Linked DNA regions of Rhinolophus ferrumequinum. The protein of the gene in region 1 interacts with the protein of each later gene in a pairwise test. Links are inferred from orthologs where the notes say so. Each region holds a gene or a part of one and is shown in the gene's direction. Other genes may lie near its edges.

Region 1 (7,222 bases):
GGGCTGACAAGGAAGGAAGGCTCGGCTGGAAGGCCCAGGACTGGCCCTTCCCCCTGGGGGGCTGGCCCTCCCTGCACCAGCCTGCGAAAACGCCTGCAAGCGCCCTGGAACCTCCAGACAGAGAGGAGAGATCACGTGGACTTTTCTCTGAAAAACAAATAAGACAATAAAATAAACAGCTCTTTTATTTATAAAGGCCCCAGGAGCAGTGTTAAGGGCTGCAGGATCCAGTTCTCTGTGCATTCGGTCTGTCAGAAGTTGTCCTCTTGCTTTCCTGGAACTATGAGAATCCCTGCTCACTGGGGCTGCCCTCTGGGAGGGGCTCCAGCTGCTGCCACCGCTGCCTCTTACACTGGGACCCCTGCTGCAATGCAGTCTCTTCCCTTTTTGTTCCCCTGCTCCCCTTGGTCACCACGGAGCGCCAAGCACAAGCTCACTACCCCCCCTTGCAGCATTATTCCCCCGCTCCAGAGGACCTCAAATGCCCTGCCCCAAGCCCTGGAAAAAGGGACTCCCTTGGAGGGATTGTGGTGGCCATACCTGAGAGGAAGCTCAGCCTGGCACCTGTGCTGTCCCCTACATGACAATGTCCAGGCCTGAGCTGCTCCAGTGATCCTGTCCTCAAAGAGGCCACCTTCTCCCTGGGAGGGAAGCTACCAGAATTCCTGGAGGGAGAGAGACTAAGGACAGGTACTTATCCCTTTTCTGCTTGCTAATAGCCTTCTGGGGCTGGAAAGTTTTCTCTGATGTTTGGGGAAAGGGCCAATGTCCCTGTCCAAGCTCTCAGCCTGCTGGAGGTAAGGAAACTGCTGAGGATGGAAGCTCCAGGGCTAGGCCTGAGGGAGCTTTTGATGAGCCTTGGATCTTCCTACTTCCCACCTTTTTGCCAAATACTTTGGGCCCTGGAAGCTGCTAAGGGAGCTTAGCCCAGGCCCAGCCTGCCCCTCCTTGGTGCAAGTTCCCTGCCTGCTTCTGTCCTGCCCTTAGCAACTGTCACCTAACCCCACCCCACATGGTCTCTGCTGATAGCCACAGCCCAGCCCCCAGTCCTACATGCTGGAGATTTCTGGATCCTTCCCTGGGAGGGGGAGGTCTCCTAACCAGATTGGACAGGAGCCTTCATTTCTTGACTTGGGTCATTTGGGAGCTATTTATTTATTCTTAATATTTAATTTTTAACATCCTCTCAGGGACCAGGGGCCTCCTGCTTTTCAGAGGCCCAAGTGCATTTATCCCAAAACAAGGCACCTTCTTGTCATCTCCCCGCCCCCCGCTCCCCCCATTCCCAAGACCCTAAGGTCCCTCACCTTGTTGCTCTGGAACTTCTTGCCAGTAGAATGATAGTAACACTGAAAGGATGGGAAGGTGGAAGTTGTCACCAAAGCCACATACAGACTAGGAGGAGCAAGGGACATCAAAGGCACTTCTTGTTGCTACCTCTTCTCTGTCTGTACTTTCAAATTGCCGGAGGGGATGGCTAGAAGCCAGAAGTCTGGTTTTGTTTTTGGCTTGAAGTAGCCGTATTTGGCATGGAGTTCACTGGAGTGAAAGGGCTGGAAGGTTTTGGAGGCCCCTTCCCTTGCCAGTCCCACAGGAGGGCTGAGTTATTTTTCTGATCTTGTTACTCAATTTTAGTTGTGTAAAAGAACCTCTAAGTGAGTGCAAGTAGATATATGACAAGTCAACCTGTTAGGAAGGAGCCAAAAAGTACTCATTCTGCTACTCCTTTTGAGATAGCTTAAAGCATCATGTTGGTAGCCGGGAGTGGAAGGCTGTTTTGTTTCTAAACTATGCACTATCGGGTATTTTTCAGCATTCATTTAATGCATTAATATGGTCCTACAGGACCCCAGCTATGGGAGCAACAAAATTCTAACCCAGTTAATTTCTTCTATAAGCTCGTTAAGTTCAATACCCCAAGATTGCAAAAATCTGGTATACACTCCAGAAAACAGAGAGGTAGCAAATTTAGGCTCTTTTCTAAATCACTTGTGTAATCTGAGTGCCTTCACAGCTTTGCCCCAAAGTGCTACTTATGTTTCCCAAGGTTTTTTCTATTTAAATTGTGTTTAGTTTCAGGCCCCTTTATGAACATGTAACAGAAACCTCCTTTGTCTAGAGTGATTCTCCTTTTCTAAGCTCATAGGAGACCAGACCAGGTGAATGTAGGTAGAGTACATCAAGATGACACCTCTCTGTATAAATCCCACCAGACACCGTATTTTAGAAGGGTTCATGTTCCAGGATAGACATATCTAGAATGCAGTGTGAGAGTTAAAAATGTTTAGAGGGCAAATGCAATTGTGGCAAGTAACGTGCCAATTAAGTAGGTGCAGCCATAGCAGCTGGCATAGGTATATTTTTTATGGTGCTTTCTCCCGGTGAACATATTAGGCTCATCTTTTGTTTCTTCTTCTATTCAGAGCTCTTTGCTTTAAGAAGTTAAATGACAAAACATCTCCAGCTTTATAATGTCCTCCCCACACCATCTCACATAGCCATCTCCCAGCCTCCATCTGCACTCAGTTAAGGGCATGAAACTAACTTAGTGCCTGTGTTCCAGACCATTTCTGAGGTCTCTTACCCACCCAAGGAGATAGTGCTTCAGCACTGTCCTCCATGCCTTCAGCAGCCCCCCTCACAGATAATGTACCCACCCATCCCTTCTGCCACCCCATCCCCACCCCTGGCACAGAGGTCGTGTGCTGCTTATGTCTAAAGGTATCCCCTATATTTAACTGCCTCAGTGACCTAACCTCTTTCTTCTCATGTGCCAGATGCTAAGATGAAGGAGGAATACAATACATACTCAAGCCCCAGCTGTTTAAATGTTTTTACTGGGGCTCACTTTTCTCGGATGGTATTTATTACCAGACTGGCAAGCCTAACTCCTTAGGTTTACAGGAAGTATACATATTTTTATAAAACAATTGTATGTCCTCCACATATTTTGCTGTGTTAATATTTGCCTCTAACAATTTGCAGCTGTTTCACCTTTTCCTCATTTGTCTCTAAATTGAAGGCCTTGTTGGAGAGAACAGAGCACAGGAACAGCTTTGACAGTCTGTAATTATTGTACAAATATTTTAATAGCATATAAATAAGTATATTCCTTTTATTTTGGAAAAAAATGAACAGACACTGCCTTTTGTGTGTTTGCTGCCTGTGGCACCCTTTTTAAAAAAGACTGTTACATGTTAAAATAGTGTACATATATATATAAATATTACCTCTTTTGCTGTACAGTTGTGATAGACCAGACGGAAGATTTTATTTTTTGTGTGCTTTTTATATAAAAAAATTAATACACTAAAGAAAATCTTGCTGATGTGATTGTAATGTACCTATGTAACTTATTTACTTTTGAATGTTCTTCTGTATCTTTAAACCTTTTATTACATAAGGTTTTAAAAATTCAGAGTTGAATGATGTGTTCTTTTGGGGAGATTTTCACCATCTGGGATTGACGTAAATAGGCCTTGTTTTGCTTGCAGAGGATTACTCGACATATTTGAACCATAAGGATTCTGTTTTATCAGCCCATTGTCAATGATGCCAGGACTGGACATTAACACATTAGCGTTTTCCTGGCTATAGAAATTACTAAATTGACATGGATTTTTTTAACAAAATGTTAGACAAGTCTCAACCCAGTGTCTCACAAAAACACATGTAAATGTCACATTTCCAACATTCATTGGGATGAAATATGGAGGGTACAGATGTGATCAGGTGGCACAGGGAAGCCTCGGGGCTGAACAGGGTGTTTTCATATGTAACATTGACTGTACGAACGACCTGAGTAGACAAGCCTGCTTTGACGGATGCATTTTCAACAGTATCATCTTAAATCCACTCCAGAAGTATATCACTATCTTAAACACGGTGCTCTGAAAAAAAAAAATCTGGAAAATATTAAAAAGGCAATGCGCCATCAGAGAAACCAGTGCCTGCAGCCCCTGGCTGGCACCATGGCAACCGCTCGACCGCACTGGCCGCCTGAGCGCGCGGATCTCGCGTCGTCTGGGCCACCGTTGCCATGGCTACACAGGAGCTAGCTGGGCCGCGGGGGCGGAGCGGGAGGAAGCCACTCGCCCGGCCGGCCCCGCCTTCCACTGCCGCAGTATCTCCTCGGCTGGCTGCGGGTCCGACTTGGGGGCAGCAGCGGCGCGCAAGCCCGCCACAGCCTGCGCCTCCGTGCCTGTGTCCTCGGTCCTCGGCTGTCCTCGCCGCCCAGAGGGACCCCTGCACCCGCGAAGAAGCCGCTCGCGAACTGGCCCTGCCGCCGCTGCTGCGACCACAGGACAGTCTCCCTCCAGGAGCGGCAGAACCCTCGTCTGCAAAGCAGCCGCCCCTGAGCCGACTGAAGGCCCGGCTCTGATCGCGAACGCCGGCGCGATCAACTCCTGCAGCAGCGACTGCCCGGCGCGCCCGGGCGGCTTAGAGGAGGCGGCCACACCCCCGCGACCACACCCCGGCGGCCTCTCCAGCCCGACAGCTTCAGCCTCCGCCGCCCGCCCTGGCTCCAGGCCTTCTCTTGCAACGCGACACCATATGTGCAGGTGGAGGACCGGGGCCGCGGACCCCGACCTGAGACGCAAGATGGCCGCGGCCGCGTGACTGAGCATTCCAGAGGCTTTGCTGCGAGAACGCGCCGACCACCGACTTTAGGGGGCAGCGAAAGGACGAGAGCGGGACTCTGGTGTCATTTGCTAATTGTGATTGCATGAAGCATATTGGGTGAAAGGGGAGTGTCTGCTGTTGTCCTAAGCCCTAGAGCACAGGGAGCCACAGTCTAAACCGTATTTGTAGGATTGGGCTCTTGATAGTTGGGAAAATGGCGATGACGCTGTTGGAAGACTGGTGCAGGGGGATGGATGTGAACTCCCAGAGAGCCCTGCTGGTGTGGGGGATCCCAGTGAACTGTGATGAGGCTGAAATCGAAGAGACCCTCCAGGCTGCGATGCCCCAGGTGCCCTATCGAGTGCTTGGGAGAATGTTCTGGAGGGAAGAGAATGCGAAAGCAGCCTTGTTAGAGCTCACGGGCGCTGTCGATTACGCGGCCATCCCCAGGGAGATGCCAGGTAAAGGAGGGGTCTGGAAAGTGGTCTTTAAGCCCCCGACTTCCGATGCCGAATTTTTAGAAAGGTTGCACCTCTTTCTAGCGAGAGAGGGGTGGACCGTGCAAGATGTTGCCCGTGTCCTTGGGTTTCAGAATCCTGCTCCGGCCCCAGGCCCAGATATGCCAGCAGAGATGCTAAACTATATTTTGGATAATGTTATTCAGCCTCTTGTTGAGTCCATATGGTACAAGAAGCTGACGCTGTTCTCGGGGAGGGACATCCCGGGGCCTGGGGAGGAGACCTTTGATCCCTGGCTGGAGCACACCAATGAGGTCATAGAGGAGTGGCAGGTGTCTGATGTGGAAAAGAGACGGCGGTTGATGGAGAGTCTTAGGGGCCCTGCCGCTGATGTCATCCGCATCCTCAAGACTAACAACCCTGCGATAACCACCGCCGAATGCCTGAAGGCGCTTGAGCAGGTTTTTGGAAGCGTGGAGAGCTCTAGGGATGCGCAGGTCAGATTTCTGAATACTTACCAGAACCCAGGAGAAAAGTTATCGGCTTACGTCATTCGTCTGGAGCCTCTGCTGCAGAAGGTGGTGGAGAAAGGGGCCATAGATAAAGATAACGTAAACCAGGCCCGCCTGGAGCAGGTCATTGCCGGGGCCAACCACAGCGGGGCCATCCGAAGGCAGCTGTGGCTGACTGGGGCTGCGGAAGGGCCAGCTCCGAACCTCTTCCAGTTGCTGGTGCAGATCCGCGAGGAGGAGGCCAAGGAGGAGGAGGAGGAGGCTGAGGCCGCCCTCCTGCAGTTAGGCCTAGAGGGGCACTTCTGAGCCCCAGGAAACCGAGCTGTAGTGCAGACCTAGATCACAGCGCTTTTGTCTTGTCTGTGCTCTCTTTTACGCGTGTCTTAGTCAAGTCCTGTTTTCTGGGGGGAAGTCGGGTCTGGGTATTCATGCTAACATTAGTAAACTCATGCAAGCGAGCACCTTGAGCGGCCGCAAGTGAGTCCTAGCTAAATGCCCGGTAAAATGCCGGACCCGAGAGCTCAGTGCAAGCTGTCATCGTGGCATCATCAATTGTGAAAAACATGTGAACTTGTGACACTTCTTATCGAGGTACTTAAATTGCATGTTCAGATGTTTAGCCCAGAGCCTGGCTAACACAAGAAGTGTTCAGTGAAAATACGAACTATTGTTACTAATATCGTGAATGGTTTTTGTGTTTACTGTAAATTGTTCCTGATTTATATTAATGGGAAAAATGTGAATTAATTAGATGTTATCATTCCACTTTACAGTGCTAATTATTTTTCATCTTTAAACATCTGGAACAGTATAATTGAAAAGTATTCTGAGACTACAAAATGGGGTGTTAGAAAAATACTGCAGTTACAGAGCTGTGTAAATTAGAAGTTTTCACTGTACAAGATACAGATATAAATCGCATGGGGAGGTTAATATGAACCGGCTAGAGTATCCATTTCAAATCTTTGTCATTGAATAGTTCTTATTCATGCTGATTGTGTTCTAAATTTGAAGTTATCAAATACATGTATACGAATAAAAATATTTAAAAAATTGTATTGTCTGGTTTTTCTGACTTACAAAAATTTCAGTTCAATTAAAGTCTGAATTCTTTTCAGACTTCACCATGTCACTAAAAAAAAAATCGAACCTCAGTTATTTTATCTTTAAGCTTTATATAATAAATACTATGTAAATTTAAACTGCAGTACCTTTTAATGTATTCTATTTTTGCTTGTTTTCTACAAGGCAAATGTTCGGAGGCTCAGTAGATATAAATAAATATTAGCCTATAAAATGTTAGGAAATCCTACAACGGCATTTAGGAGGTTATGTATCAATGCTCTTTCTCCCCTTTTAAGTCCATTTTCAGTTAAAAATGTTTTGCTGCAGGAATTATATGATAACTTCATACCTGTGTAAAATGAATGTCTCAGTTTTACAGCAGCCATTTTATATTGAGGATATAAAAAGGAAAATAAGGCTTAAAAATATGCTTATTTGGCTGCAGAGATTCAGTGACTAAAGATGTCCATCTTTTGAGATCCTACTAAATCCAGAAGTGATTACATGAACGTAGCATTCAGGGGGGTTTTCTCCTAGTAACATGGCTTTAAAATTATGGCTAAC
Region 2 (7,875 bases), on another chromosome or scaffold:
GGAAGGTCGGGGGCTCCATCTGCCCCCTTCCTGTGTCCTCTCCTCCCTGCCCTGTGTCCTGGCTTCAGCACTTCATGCTTAAGAGGCTGCAACTGGGGTCACAGCCAGGGTCGCCCATCTCTTGCCCTCAAATCTAACCCTCTCTAACAACCAGGTTCTGGGCTGGGGGCGTCTGAGATCACCCAGCACACCAGCTGAACAGGCTCTGCACTAGAGAAGGACATTTTGTGTCCTTATCAGTAACTGTAGGTTCGCGTGAGTGTCAGTAATAAAGAGCCAGCCCTGCACACTCAGTCCTGCTTCTTCAGTGATAACATTTGCACGGTCACCATCCATAGTCAGCCAGGATGCTGATCTGGGTACGGCCACGTGGGGGTCATATTCAGGGCCCCACTGTCCCCACCACACACACTGATTGTGTGCGTGTTTGCTGCACAGTGTTTCTCCATGCGAGGGCACGTGCCCGCTGTTACCAGGCCCTCCTCCTTCCTGCCTCATGTCCCAGCTGCCACCTGCTGTGCCTCCATCTCTGTGCCTTTGTGTTTGCACAACGCATACAAATGGGTGAGCTGTGTGTGGCCTGTTGGGCAGGGCTTTCACACAGTGTGACCCACCCGTGGACTTGGCCTATGAGTAAGCATGTCTCCGTGGGCACCTTTGACCCCCAAGCAGAGCTCCGGACGGGCCGAGTGGCTCGCCTGGACCCTCTCTGTTGAGCTTTGCTGATTGTGCTGCGGGTTCTGAGTGGAGTCAGCTTCGGTTCTGGGAGCACATGGCCACCTTGGTCTCGGGTGCTGGCGTGAGCTCCTGCACCACCGGTGTCCTCTCCTGCTGTCTGGTGAGCCCAGCTGCCCACCTGCTTCCTGCTGGACCGAGGAGGAAGAGAAACGAGCAAAGGGGGCCCCGGGGCTGTTTACACCCCACTTCCTGAGACCCAGCTGGTCCTGGGGGCTGTGAAAGCTCCCTGTATGGGCCCCATCTGGTTGGGGAGAAGAGCTCTAGAGTTTCCAAGGTGACCGCCCCAGGTGACGCGCACGCAGCGGGCGGTGGAACATGCGCCAGCACAGATGGAAAGTGGGGGAGAGGGGATCCCCCGCGCGCTCCTGAGGCAGTTTCCATCAGTGGGGAGAAACCCAGGAAGCAGCAGGATCATCCCGAAACCTTTCTGAGGAGGCCGGTGGTGATGTCAGTGACCCACCACCGTCTGTGGGGCACAGCTACTTCTGAGGTTGGAACAGGAAATGGTTAATAGTGTTTGCAAATAAAAACTTTCTGTTCTGTCCTGTTTTTAAAGCATTTCCCAGAAGTTAAAGAAGGGTGCCTAATTTAGCTGCCCAATTCAAGAGCCAAATTAAACAAATTGAATGGAGTATTTTCACCATTTACTATACACAAGAATAAAGTTAGCTGAATTTTTTGTTTGTTGAGGTGGCGGGCAGGGGGTCACAGGAAACTCTTACCCTTTTATTTTCCAAACTTTCTAGAATGCTGTTAGTGGTTTAAATGTGAATTTATAGTTTAAATTTCCAAATGTGTGTGTTTGTGTGTAATGTGTATATATGTTGCATGTGTGTAGGCATGTATGTTCCTATATGTGCATTCATGTGTAAACATGTGTATGTGTGTACCAAAACCCTGGACTTTAGGTATAGTCCCAGAATATCAGTTAGCTTTGTTATGATTGGCTGGGTGATACTCCCAAAACCCTAGAAAACAGTGCCTTAAGAAACAGTGGCAGCCAGAAGTTTATTTCTGTCTTGAATAAGAAATCTGGAAGTAACCTGCCTGGAAGTAGGAGGGCAATGCCAGCTGTTCTCAGGAATCCAGGTCTTACCTTTCTGCTCCCTCAGCAAGGTGACCCCATGGTCTGAGATGGCTGCTGGAGGGCTGGCCATCATCTCTGCACTGTGGACCAGAAGAAGGTGAAAGTGGAGTAGAAGGAGTCGGATGATGCCCAGCTATCTGGTCTCATCCTGGAACTTTCTTGGAGGCACATACCTTGTATCTTACTGTCACACTTAGCTGCCAGGCAAAGATGCCACATGGTTGAAAGAACCAAAAAGAAGTGTCAGGGGGCTGGCCCGGTGGCTCAGGAGGTTGGAGCTCTGAGCTCCTAACGCTGAAGGCTGCCGGTTCGATTCCCACATGGGTCAGTGGGCTCTCAACCACAAGGTTGCCAGTTCAATTCCTCAACTCCTGCAAAGGATGGTGGACTCCACCCCCTGCAACTAAGACTGTACACAGCACTTTGAGCTGAGCTGCCGCTGAGCTCCCGGATGGCTCAGTTGTTTGGAGTGTGTCCTCTCAACCACAAGGTTGCCGGTTCCACTCCCGCAAGGGATGGTGGGCTGTGTCCCCCGCCGCAACTATCAATGGCAACTGGATCTGGAGCTGAACTGCGCCCTCCACTATGACTGAAAGACAACAACTTGACTTGGAAAAAATCGGTGGAAGTACACTGGGGGGGCAGAGGCCCAGAGAGCAGTTTCCAGGCTCTCGGCCTCTCGTGGAAAGGTGCTGACTCGGGTAGTAGATGGCCGTCAGCTGTAACCATTGAGCCACTGGCCACTAATATAACTGCCGCAGCTACGTTGGGGAGTGGAGTCGAGGGGAGTCGAGGACAGTTGGTCGGTTGGCAGAAAAGCGGACAGCAGGTTGCACGTCGTGTGAAACCAGCCTCCAGTGAGACTATAGTGGTGTGACTCCCCTACCTATGGCTCCGTGGGTGTTCCTTTTTGGCCTCAGCATATCCTGCGTTCTTATGTGGGGAGTGGGACCCGAGACCCCGCAGGCCGCCCCGCGTGACAGCAGGTTGAAAGATGGGTTAGAGTGTGCAGCTTAGAGAGACGGGTTACAGTTCGCATGTTAGAGAGACAGAGTCATGGCAACGTGGACAGCATGGTGGGAAGGGCAGGCGCATGCGCGTCTGGATTCCACGAGGAGGAGCGCGTAGGCGAGGGCAGAGCACCGCTTCCATCCTTCTGAAGGTCTTGATTTACTTCAGGTTAGGGTTATCCTAAATTTGTGTGTTGGAATTTCTATGGCCGCCAGCAAAATAATAGAAACAGAGAGTGGCACCCAAGTTTGTGGCAGGATGAGAATGGAACGATAAAATAGTCACTCCACGACAAGGTGGCACGAGAGGGAAGAGCCCCTGGGATGTCAGCCCGAGCAGGTGGCGGGCTCAGACTGGTGAGTTGAAGAGCTGAATGAAGGGCGACTAACTTAGGATTCTGCAGCCTGCAGAAAAGGCACGGAGGGGCCTGGTTCTCAGCCTGTCACCTGTCAGAAGGGGTGGAGGCTGTGGTTCTAGAACCTGGAAACCGTTGGCCAGCAGGCGTGGTGGCTCTCAGCTAGGGACACAGCACACACTCTGTCCCTGTGGACGAGAAGCGTGGCTGGCTGCAGTGAGCGCTTCCATGTGCCCTGGGGGAGCACATGGCACACAGATGTGGCAAGGGCCCATATCGGGGGAGGGGTACTCCCCTGGTTCACTCTGGCTGTCCCCCAGGACAGTCTGCCGAATCGCCGGGGGAGAGTGTGCTCTCCACCACGTCTGGGCCATTGTGGACGATGCTCGGGGACAAGGCCTTGCGGGGTGTGGGGAACGGCAGGTACCTGTCAGCCTCACTGGGCAACACCAACGCTGAGCGGGGGTTTTATGGTTTTGGTCCCATTTGACTGCCTGTCAACAGTCACGTGGAAAAGCCTGCTCACTCAGTATGGCGGCTTGAATAGGTGTGACAGTCATGCCTCTGTGTGGCCCTTGTCCTGAGGGTGCCTCCTCAACCACAGGCACCCAAAGGTGGACTTCCTTTGTGCTTCATTTGCATCTTCCTTCCCTTGGGGTCCAGGGGTCAGGCTCCTCCCCACTCTGCTTGAACATTGGCCATTCTTTCCTCAATTCACTTGTTCTCATTGCACCTGACAAACTGCAGCTATGCATGCTCTTGAAACTCACACACAAAACCCCAAAAAGACGGGAGAAGCCAGACACATGTGCACAGAAAACATTGTCCGGACTCCCTTGCAGCTGCTGGGGCGCACACTGGGCGGGTGGTGGTTTTCCAGCCCAGGGGGCTGGCGGTGCCTTGGTGGGAAAGAACACACAGAGAGCTTTTGGAGGCTGGCTTCTTTCAGGTGCTGACCTCAGACTTTATAGAAGTTCATGAAGCTGTGTGTGTATGTTTTAGGCATTTTTACGTAAATGATGTACATTTATAGCCAATAAAAAGTTTGAAAATTTGCAATGACACGTAAAGTTAAAGTTCTTCACAGCCTTGTTTGTGACGGTAGAGAACCATCACTGAGCAGCTTGGGAACAGGCAGGACAGACAAGGTGGAGCCACCGGCCTTAAGACACCAGATGCTGAAGGGGAGAGCGTGGGGCATTGTCTGGGGCACGGTGTGGAGGGAAACACCAGGCTTCAGGTGACATGTTCAGCATGGTTTCCTGTTTGTGACAAGAGCGCTGGACTATCTGCATGTGCACGTGCAGCTCCAGACGGTCTCTGGGTGGCCGGCTGCCCCGCAATGTCATCGCCTTGCATTGTTTTTCCTCGTCATTTATCTGTTTGCTTCTCATTTGTCCTAAAGAAAATGGATTGCTTGCGTAATGAAAAATATTAAAAAAGGATAAGAAAAAGAGGCCTGTTTCTCCTTTCTCTGAGACAAACCGGTTGCCATGGAGACTGACCGGTTGTCAAGGCAGCGGTCGGTCGGCGGGTGGGGCTGCAGAGGCATCCACCAGCCAGAGCCGGCAAGCCTCAGTCCGCACTGCGGCCCAGCGCCAGCATGGACGGGGTGCACGTGTGGGCCCGCACACTGGCCCAGCTGATGGCCAAGAGTAAGCCGCAGGACACCTGGGAGCTGGTCCCTGACGAGAACTTGGCCTTTGGGCATGTGGACGGCGGAGGTTTCCAGTACCGGCTGAGGGGGCTTTCAAGGTGCGGTGGAGGGTGGGGCCTCTTGCTGGGTCCTGGGGGTGGGGAGGGGCTGAAGGCTGCTTGACCACTGGCCCTAGGCTGGGCCTGAGTCCCAAGGCCAGGCTGGGTGCATCCCGGCACTTGGGCATGTGGAGAGGGGCATGTGTCCGGCCTGCTCTTGTCCCCCAACAGGTGGGTGGCTGGGTGCTTGTGATCCCTTTCAGTGACAGGCAGAGACCCTGCCTGGCAGTGCTAGACCCCTGGAGCCCAGGTGGGGCCTTGCCAGTTGGGGGCTGCTGGGGTGACATGGTCACCCACTCAGGAGGGCTCCATCGGTTTACTGCGCATCTCCTGGTCTCCATGGCAGCGCCACCACCCAGCCCTACACTGCAGCTGGGCCTGAGGGACCGGAAGCGGAGAGGTGCACTGAGGGGCACGGCCCTAGAAAAGGGGGCGCTGTGCCCCGCCTGGTCACGGCAGAGTGGGAGGCCATTTGGGAGCCCTGGTGGCCTCGCGTCACTGTGTGAGCCTCCGTCTTCATCATCATCGTCATCAGTGTCATGATGACAGCTGTCAGTCCAGTGGGATGGCCCAGAGCTGCAGAGCCCCACCTAGCCAGGCACCCCAGTCCTCAAGGAGAGCTGGGAGGTGGCGCAGTGGGGGAGCGGGCCTGATTGCCGTGGAATGCTGGCTTTCTCAGGTCTGAGAAGCACTTTAAACACCTGGCTGTTCCCACAGCCAAAGTGAAGAACTGCTCTAAATGGCAGGTGAGGACGGGGAACACTGCCAAGCAGGTTTTCAGTTTTCAATGGAAACACCAGCTGGTGGGATGGTCACAAACAGAAACCTACATTCTCCTCCTCAGCCCTCCGGCACGTGTGGCTTGTGACGTGCTCATTAATGAAATCGCAACACCGTTGGTTGTTCGGTCCTCAGGGCACTCTCCACGTACAGGCAGTCTCCCCGGCCACTTGTGGCTGCAGGCTGGCGCAGAGGCAGAGCCATGCCACAGTCACGGAAAGTTCTAAGGACAGACCCGCAGGGCTTCCTGGGAACATTTGGAGCCTTCCCACGCATGTGGGTTCCCATGCCTGCATGCATGTGCCACACAGGGGTGACTCGTCTGTGACCTGAGGGTCTTGGAGAGAGGCCCCAACTGCCCAGCCCTGGGACACGCAGCCTCAGATGGCTTGGGGCACCAGCACCTTCACCATGTATTCGCTGACCCAAGCAGCTGGCCCTCTTCCATGCAGGGGTGGAGTGCGGCTCCCCTGTTCACACGGTCAAAGCCAGAGGGCCCAGGACACACGCCATCCTCCAGGAACCCCCGCCCCTCCTCTGTCTCCATGCTTGTCTGTCTGCTGCATTGTTCCCATCACCCAACCCCCTCCTCCGTCCTCATCACCCAGGCCCCTGCCCCCTGGTTTTACTTCCCTTCCTGTCACCTTCCCTCCCTGGGGTGGGCTGCCCCCTCCGAGGCCCCACAGCCCTTTCCTCAGCCCTGCCTGTCTGTCCACCACAGATGCCTTCTTTTCGTCCTCTCACCGGTATCCACAGGCCTGTCTTTGTTTTTTGCTGACATTTCCTCAAGACACTGAAGCTCCAAGTCATAATATGACAGAAATGCAGTAGCTCGCAGCCCCAAGTAAGTGCAGAGCGAGCCCTCACGTGTGTCAAGCCAGGCTTGGCCACCCAGTGCACTTTGGTGCCAAACAGGCATTTGCGTCTCAGATTATGGGGTGCAGGCAAAGGCCCCACTCTGCCCCCGAGTGGCGTGGGGCACCAGGGAGCACGGCCGCCCCGTCCCCTCCTCTCACTGCTGCCTCTGTTCTTCCCAGGCTCCAGTGCGGCCGCTGCCAGTGGGGCTGGTCCTCGGCCCACGTGCACATCCTCTTCCATGTGTGGTGGGACGAAGACAACCACTTGGGGCTGGTGAAGATGCGTGTGTGGGGCCAGGGCTGTCAGGTGTGCCCGCGGGACGCCCGGGGACACTGCCAGGTGAGCCTCCTGAACGTGCGGCTCTTCCTGCACAAGCTGGTCCTGTTTGTCCTGCACAATTGCTACCGTGAGGGCCTCAGCTCTGACCAGTGCCCCGAGATCTGCTTCGGGGACCAGTGTGAGGCCTGTGAGCTGGGGGTCTGCTTCTTCCAGAAGCCCCCAGACCCTGCTTGGGGCCCTGAAGTTAGGAGCTGCAGCCCTAGCCAGGACTCTGTGTGCGGCAGTGGCCCTGTGGTCCTCCGTGCCCGGGGCCGCACCCCCAGCTGCAGCACCGTGCCCCCTGCCATGCCCGACGTCATCAGAAGCCCCCTCTCTGAGAGCAACCAGTTCTTCAGCGAGGACATCGACATTGTCACCGTCCCCTTCTCCCTCGTGCGCACACGCAGTGACAGGGGACTTCTAGGCCCTGGGCAGGGTGCCCGGGGACCGCTTATCATTGACAGAGGTTCCATCTACCTGCCTGCCAGCGTCACAGCCACGTCCAAGGGCAGGGGCGTCCTGGTGAACATCAAGGCCCCCGTCCTCCACGGCAAGGGCCGCCTGCTCAGCAGCACCAAGCCCTTCCAGGTCACAGGCTTCATCTACAAAGGCCACGGCTCTGTGTCCTGCCCGGCTGGCACGCACAGGAAGGGTCCGGGCACGGTCTCCGGCAGCAGCGGCCGACCAGCTGGAGAGGACTTCCTGCCTGTGTCCTATATCATTGGCCTCACAGAAGATGGTGATGGCTCCCTCACTTTCCCCTCGTCCTTAGCCCACGTCATCCCAGGCCAGGGCCACCCCTCTGACGTCAACGGCTCCCTCACCTTCCCCTTCATCTTCACTGATGGGCACTGGGGACAGGGTGGCAGTGGCCTCATCCGGGTGGGACCAGAGCCCAGCCCCAGCTCCAAGTGCAAGGGCTCCCTGACCATCCCCCTGTCGGTGCTCAGCATCATAAAGCGGGGGGGGCTGC
Region 3 (7,842 bases), on another chromosome or scaffold:
GCGCCTGGCTCAGGCTCTACCACTACCTCTCCCGTTACCACCACGGTCCCCAGCGTGCAGCCCATTGTCAAGCTGGTCTCCACCGCCACAGCTGCACCCCCCAGCACTGCCCCCTCTGGCCCCGGCAGTGTCCAGAAGTACATAGTGGTCTCTCTTCCCCCAACCGGGGAGGGCAAAGGAGGCCCCACCTCCCATCCTTCTCCAGTCCCTCCGCCATCCTCAGCCCCCTCCCCACTTGGGGGCAGTGCCCTCTGTGGGGGGAAACAGGAAGCTGGAGATAGCCCCCCTCCAGCTCCAGGGACTCCAAAGGCCAATGGCTCCCAACCCCCTGGATCTGGCTCCCCTCAGCCTGCACCTTGATGCTGTCAAACATCTGTCAACATTCTCTTCCTCAGATTCTCTCACCGCCTACACACACACACACACACACACACACACACACACTTACTAGGTGGAAGGAAGTAGCAACCTGCTTCCTACCTTAACTTTCTTTTTAGATATTGTACAGCCAGCTTTTCAGAATAAAAGATTGATTTATAAGTTCTGTTCCACCTCAGTCTTTCCTGTGACCAGTACTATGGGAGGGTCTAACCCATTGAGCCCTCATGGTCTCTAGGACTTAGACTCTTCCAATCAGATCCATAGCCATACACCAGAAGGCTGGAATTGACAGTATCATCCTTCTCCCCAGCCACGGACCACCGCCTTTGCTGCCTATGTCCTCATTTGGGGAGCCTCAGATCCGAATGACATAGGCATCACTGTGGCTCAGGTGTCGCACCCACTTGTGGGGATTGGCGTTGCTGCAGGGTCTGAAGGCCAGTCTGAGGAAGCGAACCTGGAGGCCAGAGCACGTGTGCCGGGGAAGTTCAAAGGAGAGGCTTGCCGGGCCTAGCCCCAGAGGAGGGGCTGAGGTGGAGTGCCCTTGACTGGGAGGCCCAGGCAGGCCAGGGACGTCCATCTGTGGGAGGCAGAGGCAGGGGGAGGGATGCTGAAGGCACAGAGAGGGAGAGGAAGGCGGGCAGGGAAGTCAAGGGGCCAGAAAGCTGACCACGCTGGCGGGGACGATGCAGCAACTGCATTAGCAGGGTTGGGTCAGAGGGCTGAAAATGGAAGTGGGACAAGAGGGCTTTAGAGAATCAGCCGCTAATACCTGGAAAAGGCCTGAGAGCTGAGAGCCGCCTTGCACCCGAGGCAGGTCCCAGCGAAGGGCTCCATCCCCCAGCTCTGCCTTCTGTTCTGGGCTGCTCAGCTCCTGAGATAGGCTGGAGTTTAGAGACAAAAGGTGCTGGGCTCAGCCCCTACCTGCCTTGGGGGCAGGCCAGTTCCACCCCATAGTGCACACTTTCCTCCCCAATGCCACCCAGTTGTCCAAGGAAGTTAGTAAAGCCACCCAAGCAAACCCCCACGTTAAACACACACTAACCTGAGCACCCCTCGAGGTAGGGGAAGGTGCATCCTGACGTTGAGAGCCTGGCTGCACAGTGAAAGGAACAGAGTCAGCCCCAGGAAAGTAGTGACTTGTCCCCACACTTCATTAATGTCACAGCTGGAATGCAGTACAAGGGCCACCTCATCCCCTTACCAAACTCTCGAGCCTCAAACTAAACTGGATTCTGAGGCTGGTGGCTGCATCTGAAGGTGGAAGCAATAGGTATCTGGGCCCTGTCTCCTACTCCCCATAGCTGAACTAGTCTTGGCTACTACCCCCACTCGTACCTCTTTGGGGGCAGGTCACATCGCAACTTCAGATAAACCTGGAGCCTAGGTGAGAGTACAAATACTGTTACTTGGGCCATATCCTACTGCCGTCTCACCATCCTCCACCCAAGCCCCCACGTGTGGCTGTGTTGGTTGTGCCCCGGGAAGGAGAGAGAAAGGCTGAAATCTACCCAATTCCACTAGTCACTAGAGTTCATGGGGCTGAGTCCACGGGAGGAGGGTACCTTTTTCTAACTTGTATTCTATACCACTACCACCACCACCCCTCCACAATAAGACTTGGGAATATTGGCTTGAGCTCTACAGAAGTTCTAGAGCAGAGAAAATGGTCTCACCTGCCAGAACCTCGGTCCCACTGCACAGAGGGAAAGAGCCGGAACGGGAGCGGGGAAGGGAGGTCATCTGAGAGTTGGTACCGCATCACAGTCAGCTGAGACCAGGAAGGAACAGAGTCGGGTTAGTCCCCTTACACCTGAGCTGCCTCCCTTCCCGAGTAGATGGAACATCTAAGCCAGTCCATCCTGACCTCGCCCTGAGGTGGCTGCAAGTGGAGGATTCGGTGAGACTCAAACTCATCAAGGTGCACCGAGCTGTGAAACGAAACCTCATCCACCCGAATTCCCGGCCCATAACCTGTAAAGACAGAAAGACTCCTCTCCTGACCCATATACTGGGAGAGAAGAGCAGGGGTGGGGTGGGGTGGGGATCTATCTCTGACTTCTCTCCACCAAACCTCTGGCAGTGACCTATGCCTAGGAGAGAAAGACCCACTGTCTCCTCACCTCTCAGTTCTGACTTGCCCACACAAAACTCTTCTGTCAAGCCAATGCGCATCTCTGTCAGAGGAAAGGACATCAGATCGGAAAAGGCCATCAAATACCACCACACAGATCATCTAGGAGGCTGTCCCAAACCCAACCCTGGGCCCAACCTGCAAACTTCTCACCAGAGCCACTGGGAAGAAAGCTCTTGAGTCGGATCTCTCCCTGCACGTCCACCTTCAGCAGCGAGCCCTGAGAGTGGCCGGAGATTAATGCCCAGAGGCCACCTCCCCAATAGTTTCCCAGATACATCTGACCTCAGCTCCGGGGAACTTACATTAGATGCTATCAGCACAGATAGTCTCTCGACCACATCCAAAAACACTTCATTCTTTTGGCTCTGAGGAAGAGAGGAGATTTGGGTGGGTGGAGGCTGAACCACCTGTGTTCTAAAGTGGACAGGGCAGTGGAGGCTAGGGCCCTGGGGTGGGAACACAAGGTAAGAGAAGGGGTTGGATAATCCACATCTGAGGGAGGTGGAAAGATACACTGGGAAATTAGACTCTGGGGTCCCAGAAAAAAATCAGAGGGTCTGAACCCGTTCATCCCTCTCACCTGGTCAGAGCGGCTGGACAGGACGGGGCGGCTGGCTGCACTGCTCGGGGCCACTTTGCTCTGTTGTGTCTCAGCCCCAAACTGGAAAGCACCCAAAGCAATCAGTCCTCAGGTCTGACACTCGCTGCCAACCCTTCCCCCTCCTGGTCCTCTTTCCTTCACTGACCAAGCCAACACTGCTGAGGTCAAAGAGGCTGAAGGGCTTGCTGACCACAGCCTCGGTCTGGATGAAGTTCCTCAGCATCTCTGTGGATGTGGTCTGTACGTAGCCATAGTCCTAGGGGCAGAGGAAGAACAGTCTTTGCATGGCTAGCGGAGGAAAGCGGTGAAAAGGAGTGAACTTAGCCTCCCAACCGAGGAACAGATCTTCAGGGAACAGGGACAATGAGGAAAATCCTTGGACCTTACCAGCACTTCATCCAGGAGTTCATAGACAAGCGCCACATTTCGGGAGATGGTGCCCTCACCCAGGGAGCCACAGTAGTCGCCCAGGAGAGTGGCTAACCTGAGGGAAAAGAATGGAGTGTGCATCTTCTCCTCCTCCTCTCAGACCCCCAAGCCCAGCTGCCCAGCCCTGCCCTCCTCACCGAGAGAGCAGCTCTAGGAGACTGAAGGGAGAAATGTTTTCTGAAGTCGTGGCCACCAAATACAGGCCGCTGTGTCTGATGTGAATAAAATGACGGTCTTCGTGGTGCTGAGGCAAAGGCGGGGGTGGGGGGGGGGAGCGTCAGGAAAACAAAGCTGTGCTTAAGGACCCATGAGACGTGGGCTGGTATCCTGATTCCCCTACTTCAGAGCAGTGCGACCTAGGGCGAACTAGAAATCTCTCTAGGGCCCCGCTTCCCGAGTAAGTGGAGTTAATAATAGTTCCTACCCAGAGGTGCCGAGGATTAAGACATGGGTGGATCCGTGCCTGCTATATAGTTAGCGCTCAGTAAACTCGTTAACATTATTTGGAGGAATGCATCCACCAACGGGAAGCTCTCAAGGAAGCCCTAGGAGGGAGGGAGGAGGCGCCCCCCTACTCGACCTTGCCTGGAGTACCACTCCCACTCCCGTGTGGTTACCATGACAACCGGGGACTCGTCTCCGGGCAGTCCCGTCAGCTTCCGGTAGAAGAGCTCGGCCACATCCCGGCCGCCACTATCCCCACGGACTGACGGGTTGAAGGACAGCTAAGGAGCTGGCGACACGGACTGGCTCTGGGGCACTACTCCCATCCAGCCCACCCTCCCTCCCCCCACGGACCTGTGGGGTCAAGGATACAGTCCTTGTAGATGAGCGGGTCCCCCTTGGAGGACAGAATGAAGAACTGGGAAATCATTGCCGTTCTGGAGAGTAGACAAGGAGACTTCGAATGTTGGGCCTGCCCCTTCCTGCTACCCGGGAACAAAAGGACGCTCGTGGACTGGCCCTTTAAGAGCGATTCTCCTCCAACGCGGGAAACCCGGTGCCCGCCCAGCCTTGCCCAATCTGTCCCTTCAGACGCCCGCACCACCTCCCCGTCACTCAGCCCAGGCTCGCTCGGTGATTGGCGGAGGCTGGAGCCTGCGGTGAGTGGGAGGGACGGAGGGCCTCTTCTCGGATTGGCCCCCTCGCAACGGCGCCGGTCACGTGTTGGGCGACGTTTCGCGCCAATTTCGGTTGGTCAGCCACAGTCCGCCGCGCGGACGTTCACTGCTGTCGAGGTGATCCTTGAGCCCGCTAACTGCTGCCGTAGGGCTCTCGGCAGCGATGGCACTCAAGGACTACGCGCTCGAGAAAGGTGAGGGTCTGCAAGTCTGGGAGGGGCGTCTGGCGCGGGAAGCGTCCCGACCAACACCTGTTGGTTTGGGCTGGCGTCCTGGGGGGCCGGGCTCAGCGCGAGGCCAGACCCCGAGCCCAAAGCGGTGGAGCTGAGGAAGACATTGCCTGGGAGGCACGTGGAAGACTAAGGTCGGAGAAGACCTGGTGACCGTGCCCGGGAAAGAAGTGGGGCGGGGGAAAGCCGGCCGGCTTGGTGGCTCCAGTGGGGAGGGCCGCGCCCAGGAGAGACCGGGACCTCAGGAGACCCTGTCTAAGGCGCAGTGTTGAGCACTCCCTGGCTCACTTTCATCCGCACTTATAAGCACTTCGAGTGCCCGCGTTCTCCAGAGACGCGCCGAAGCTCCGGGGGCGGGCGGGCCTGGGCCGCTGCGCGCAGGGATTGGCCATTTTAGGCCAACCTCCAAGCGGAAGTGAAGGCGGGCGGAAGTTGCGCGGCGCCTCTGGAGGGAGTGTCGTGTGTAAACAGTGTCCTTCCGCGCGGTGGCCTCGGAGAGAGCTACTGAGGGTTGGGGAGTGCCTGCAATTGGGAGTTTTAGTGGGAGGCCGAGAGAGGAGATAACAGGTGGGACCGAGTGGCCCTGGACGAGCTGGCCAATAGTCGGAGGGGCTCACGCCCTGAGCGGAGGAATCCCGGGCTGTGAGGCGGCGGCATCTGGGCCCATGTGCTTCTTTGTTTACTAAGAGCGGAAGCAGTGGCGGGAGAGGGGGTGGGGTGAAGGATGGGCCTAGTGGCAGAGATTTAGGGGAACGAAAGAAAAGGGGGAATCTTCCATACGCGTGGAAGAAAAGCTGAGAACCTTGAAACCTGAGTGTGTTGCTGGGAGTGGGGGGCCTTTGGGAAAGGGCGCTGAGATTTCTAAGGCAGAGACTGGAATTCCCCTAGGGGAGGGTATTGGGTGGTACTCTAAACTGTCCGGGGCCCCTCATTATTCTCTCGTTAAACACTGACTCGTGAAAAGGAGTTCTGCCCAGTCTGGGGAGGATTATGTAGGGTTATTTAAATGTTCATATGACTAGTTTGTTTAAATGAAATGGTTTAAATGGAAGTGAGTTTCTTGGATTTCTATCAGAGTGGTTTGCAGTAAGGTATCCGAAAGAAAGGAAGGTTGATTCTCATGATTTTATGTTTACCTTATAGAAAAGGTGAAGAAGTTCCTACAAGAGTTTTACCAGGATGATGAATTTGGCAAGAAGCAGTTCAAGTATGGGAACCAGTTGGTAAGTCTACAATTAGGTAGAGGGGATGGGCTGGTTGCTTACAGGAGCTGTAAGAAGTGGCTGGACTCACTTCAGCAAGTCCATTTGTAAGTGACGTGTTTACAGCCATATGGTATGCCAAGTGAATATAATACTACATTTGTGATAAGTAAGGTGTTTTTAGGAGTTGGGAGGCTGTCCTTTGATAGCTGAGAAGTGAGTATTGCTCTGTATCACACCGCTCTTTCTCGCTTTTGGAAGCCTGGAACCTGTATGCTGAACTCATGGTGATAATGTCTTTGCATGTGAACGCTGGTGAGCATGGTAAACTTGGTTCTGGAGTTTTGTTGATTCTTCCCCACCCCAGGTTCAACTGGCTCATCGGGAGCAAGTGGCAATGTACATAGACCTAGATGATGTGGCTGAGGAGGACCCTGAGTTGGTGGACTCAATTTGTGAGAACACCAAGCGCTATGCGAGGCTCTTTGCTGATACCATACAAGAGCTGCTGCCTCAGTACAAGGAGAGGGAGGTGAGTGCAGGAAAATGCAGGGCAAGGAACTTAAGATTTCTGTCAGGAAGCTTCTCACGTTTTCTGAACTGAGGAAGGGGGCAGTAATTTCTACCTGATGTTCTTTATGCCCCATCCTGCCACTCATTTTTCCCGTCTTCTTCTGTATACCTGTAGGTGGTAAATAAGGATGTTTTGGATGTTTACATTGAGCACCGGCTGATGATGGAGCAGCGGAGCCGGGACCCTGCGGCTACCCGAAGTCCCCAGAACCAGTACCCTCCTGAACTCATGCGTAGATTGTGAGTGGTCTCAGTGGGGAAGAGTATGGGAATTTGTCCTCCAGGACCTTGCTAATGACTGTTTTTTCCCTTAGTGAGCTGTACTTTGAAGGCCCAAGCAGTAACAAGCATCGTGTGATCCGGGAAGTACGGGCTGACTCTCTGGGGAAATTGGTGACTGTGCGTGGAATCGTCACTCGTGTGTCTGAAGTCAAACCCCGAATGGTAGTGGCCACTTACACTTGTGACCAGTGTGGGGCAGAGACCTACCAGCCGGTATGTATGGAGCAAGGAACAGGAACACACTTAACTCTGTTAGTATTTTCTGTAAGAGTTTTGTGTGCTGACGCTGATCTGTTATTTTGTCTGTTGTGAAACACATCTGTGTGTATATTTCTCATTCTTTTTCTGGTATGTAGTAGTTTTTCCACGTGTTCTGTGTTCTTGATGCCTATCCCTGTTGACCCAGAATAGTTCAAGATCATTCTTGACAATTTATGGTATCTGCCATCAAGAGGAAATGTGATTCAAGTGACTGACTCTAATTGGTTCATTTGCTTCTCACTTTCTTTGGTGTTTTCTTTCTTACATCCTAGATCCAATCTCCCACTTTCATGCCTCTGATCATGTGCCCAAGCCAGGAGTGCCAGACCAACCGCTCTGGTGGGCGGCTATATCTGCAGACACGTGGTTCCAAATTCATCAAATTCCAGGAGATGAAGATGCAAGAACATGTGAGTTTGGGATATGTTGCCCAGGGAAGGTGGGGCTTGAGAGTCCATTCAAATACTGTACTCACTCACTGAGTGGAAGAAAGAACAAACGAAGAGCTGAGGCAGAGAAGTCACCTAGATCAGGAGGCAGGTTTGACTGAAACTTTCTGATTGAGCTAGGAAGAAGTAAAGGAAATCTCCGCTTCCCTCCTCGTCTGGCTTATCTTCTGAGGCTG

Evidence for each region.
Region 2: the proteins of PNMA1 (region 1) and RTP5 interact in binary tests that used the Homo sapiens proteins (3 or more experiments, as listed by UniProt). The two-hybrid records come from large-scale screens. The link is inferred for Rhinolophus ferrumequinum from reciprocal best matches to the Homo sapiens genes PNMA1 and RTP5.
Region 3: the proteins of PNMA1 (region 1) and MCM7 interact in binary tests that used the Homo sapiens proteins (3 or more experiments, as listed by UniProt). The two-hybrid records come from large-scale screens. The link is inferred for Rhinolophus ferrumequinum from reciprocal best matches to the Homo sapiens genes PNMA1 and MCM7.

What each region holds. Positions count from the first base shown.
Region 1 is NC_046289.1:24,573,024-24,580,245, forward strand, and holds PNMA1 (paraneoplastic antigen Ma1), read left to right. Parts: upstream 1-4,753; 5' UTR 4,754-4,837; coding exon 4,838-5,899; 3' UTR 5,900-6,649; downstream 6,650-7,222. Other genes in the region: MIDEAS (mitotic deacetylase-associated SANT domain protein), read left to right, coding at 1-7.
Region 2 is NC_046291.1:29,893-37,767, reverse strand, and holds the start of RTP5 (receptor-transporting protein 5), read left to right. Parts: upstream 1-4,738; 5' UTR 4,739-4,794; coding exon 4,795-4,946; intron 4,947-6,447; exon of another isoform or gene 6,448-6,570; intron 6,571-6,763; coding exon 6,764-7,875.
Region 3 is NC_046290.1:90,388,694-90,396,535, reverse strand, and holds the start of MCM7 (DNA replication licensing factor MCM7), read left to right. Parts: upstream 1-4,705; 5' UTR 4,706-4,832; coding exon 4,833-4,863; intron 4,864-5,332; exon of another isoform or gene 5,333-5,466; intron 5,467-5,649; exon of another isoform or gene 5,650-5,713; intron 5,714-6,042; coding exon 6,043-6,122; intron 6,123-6,468; coding exon 6,469-6,633; intron 6,634-6,789; coding exon 6,790-6,914; intron 6,915-6,988; coding exon 6,989-7,169; intron 7,170-7,489; coding exon 7,490-7,627; intron 7,628-7,842. Other genes in the region: TAF6 (transcription initiation factor TFIID subunit 6), read left to right, coding at 1-360; AP4M1 (AP-4 complex subunit mu-1), read right to left, coding at 737-961, 1,154-1,265, 1,427-1,477, 1,720-1,764, 2,058-2,152, 2,249-2,355, 2,505-2,558, 2,669-2,735 and 7 more. UniProt on the Homo sapiens protein: Acts as a component of the MCM2-7 complex (MCM complex) which is the replicative helicase essential for 'once per cell cycle' DNA replication initiation and elongation in eukaryotic cells.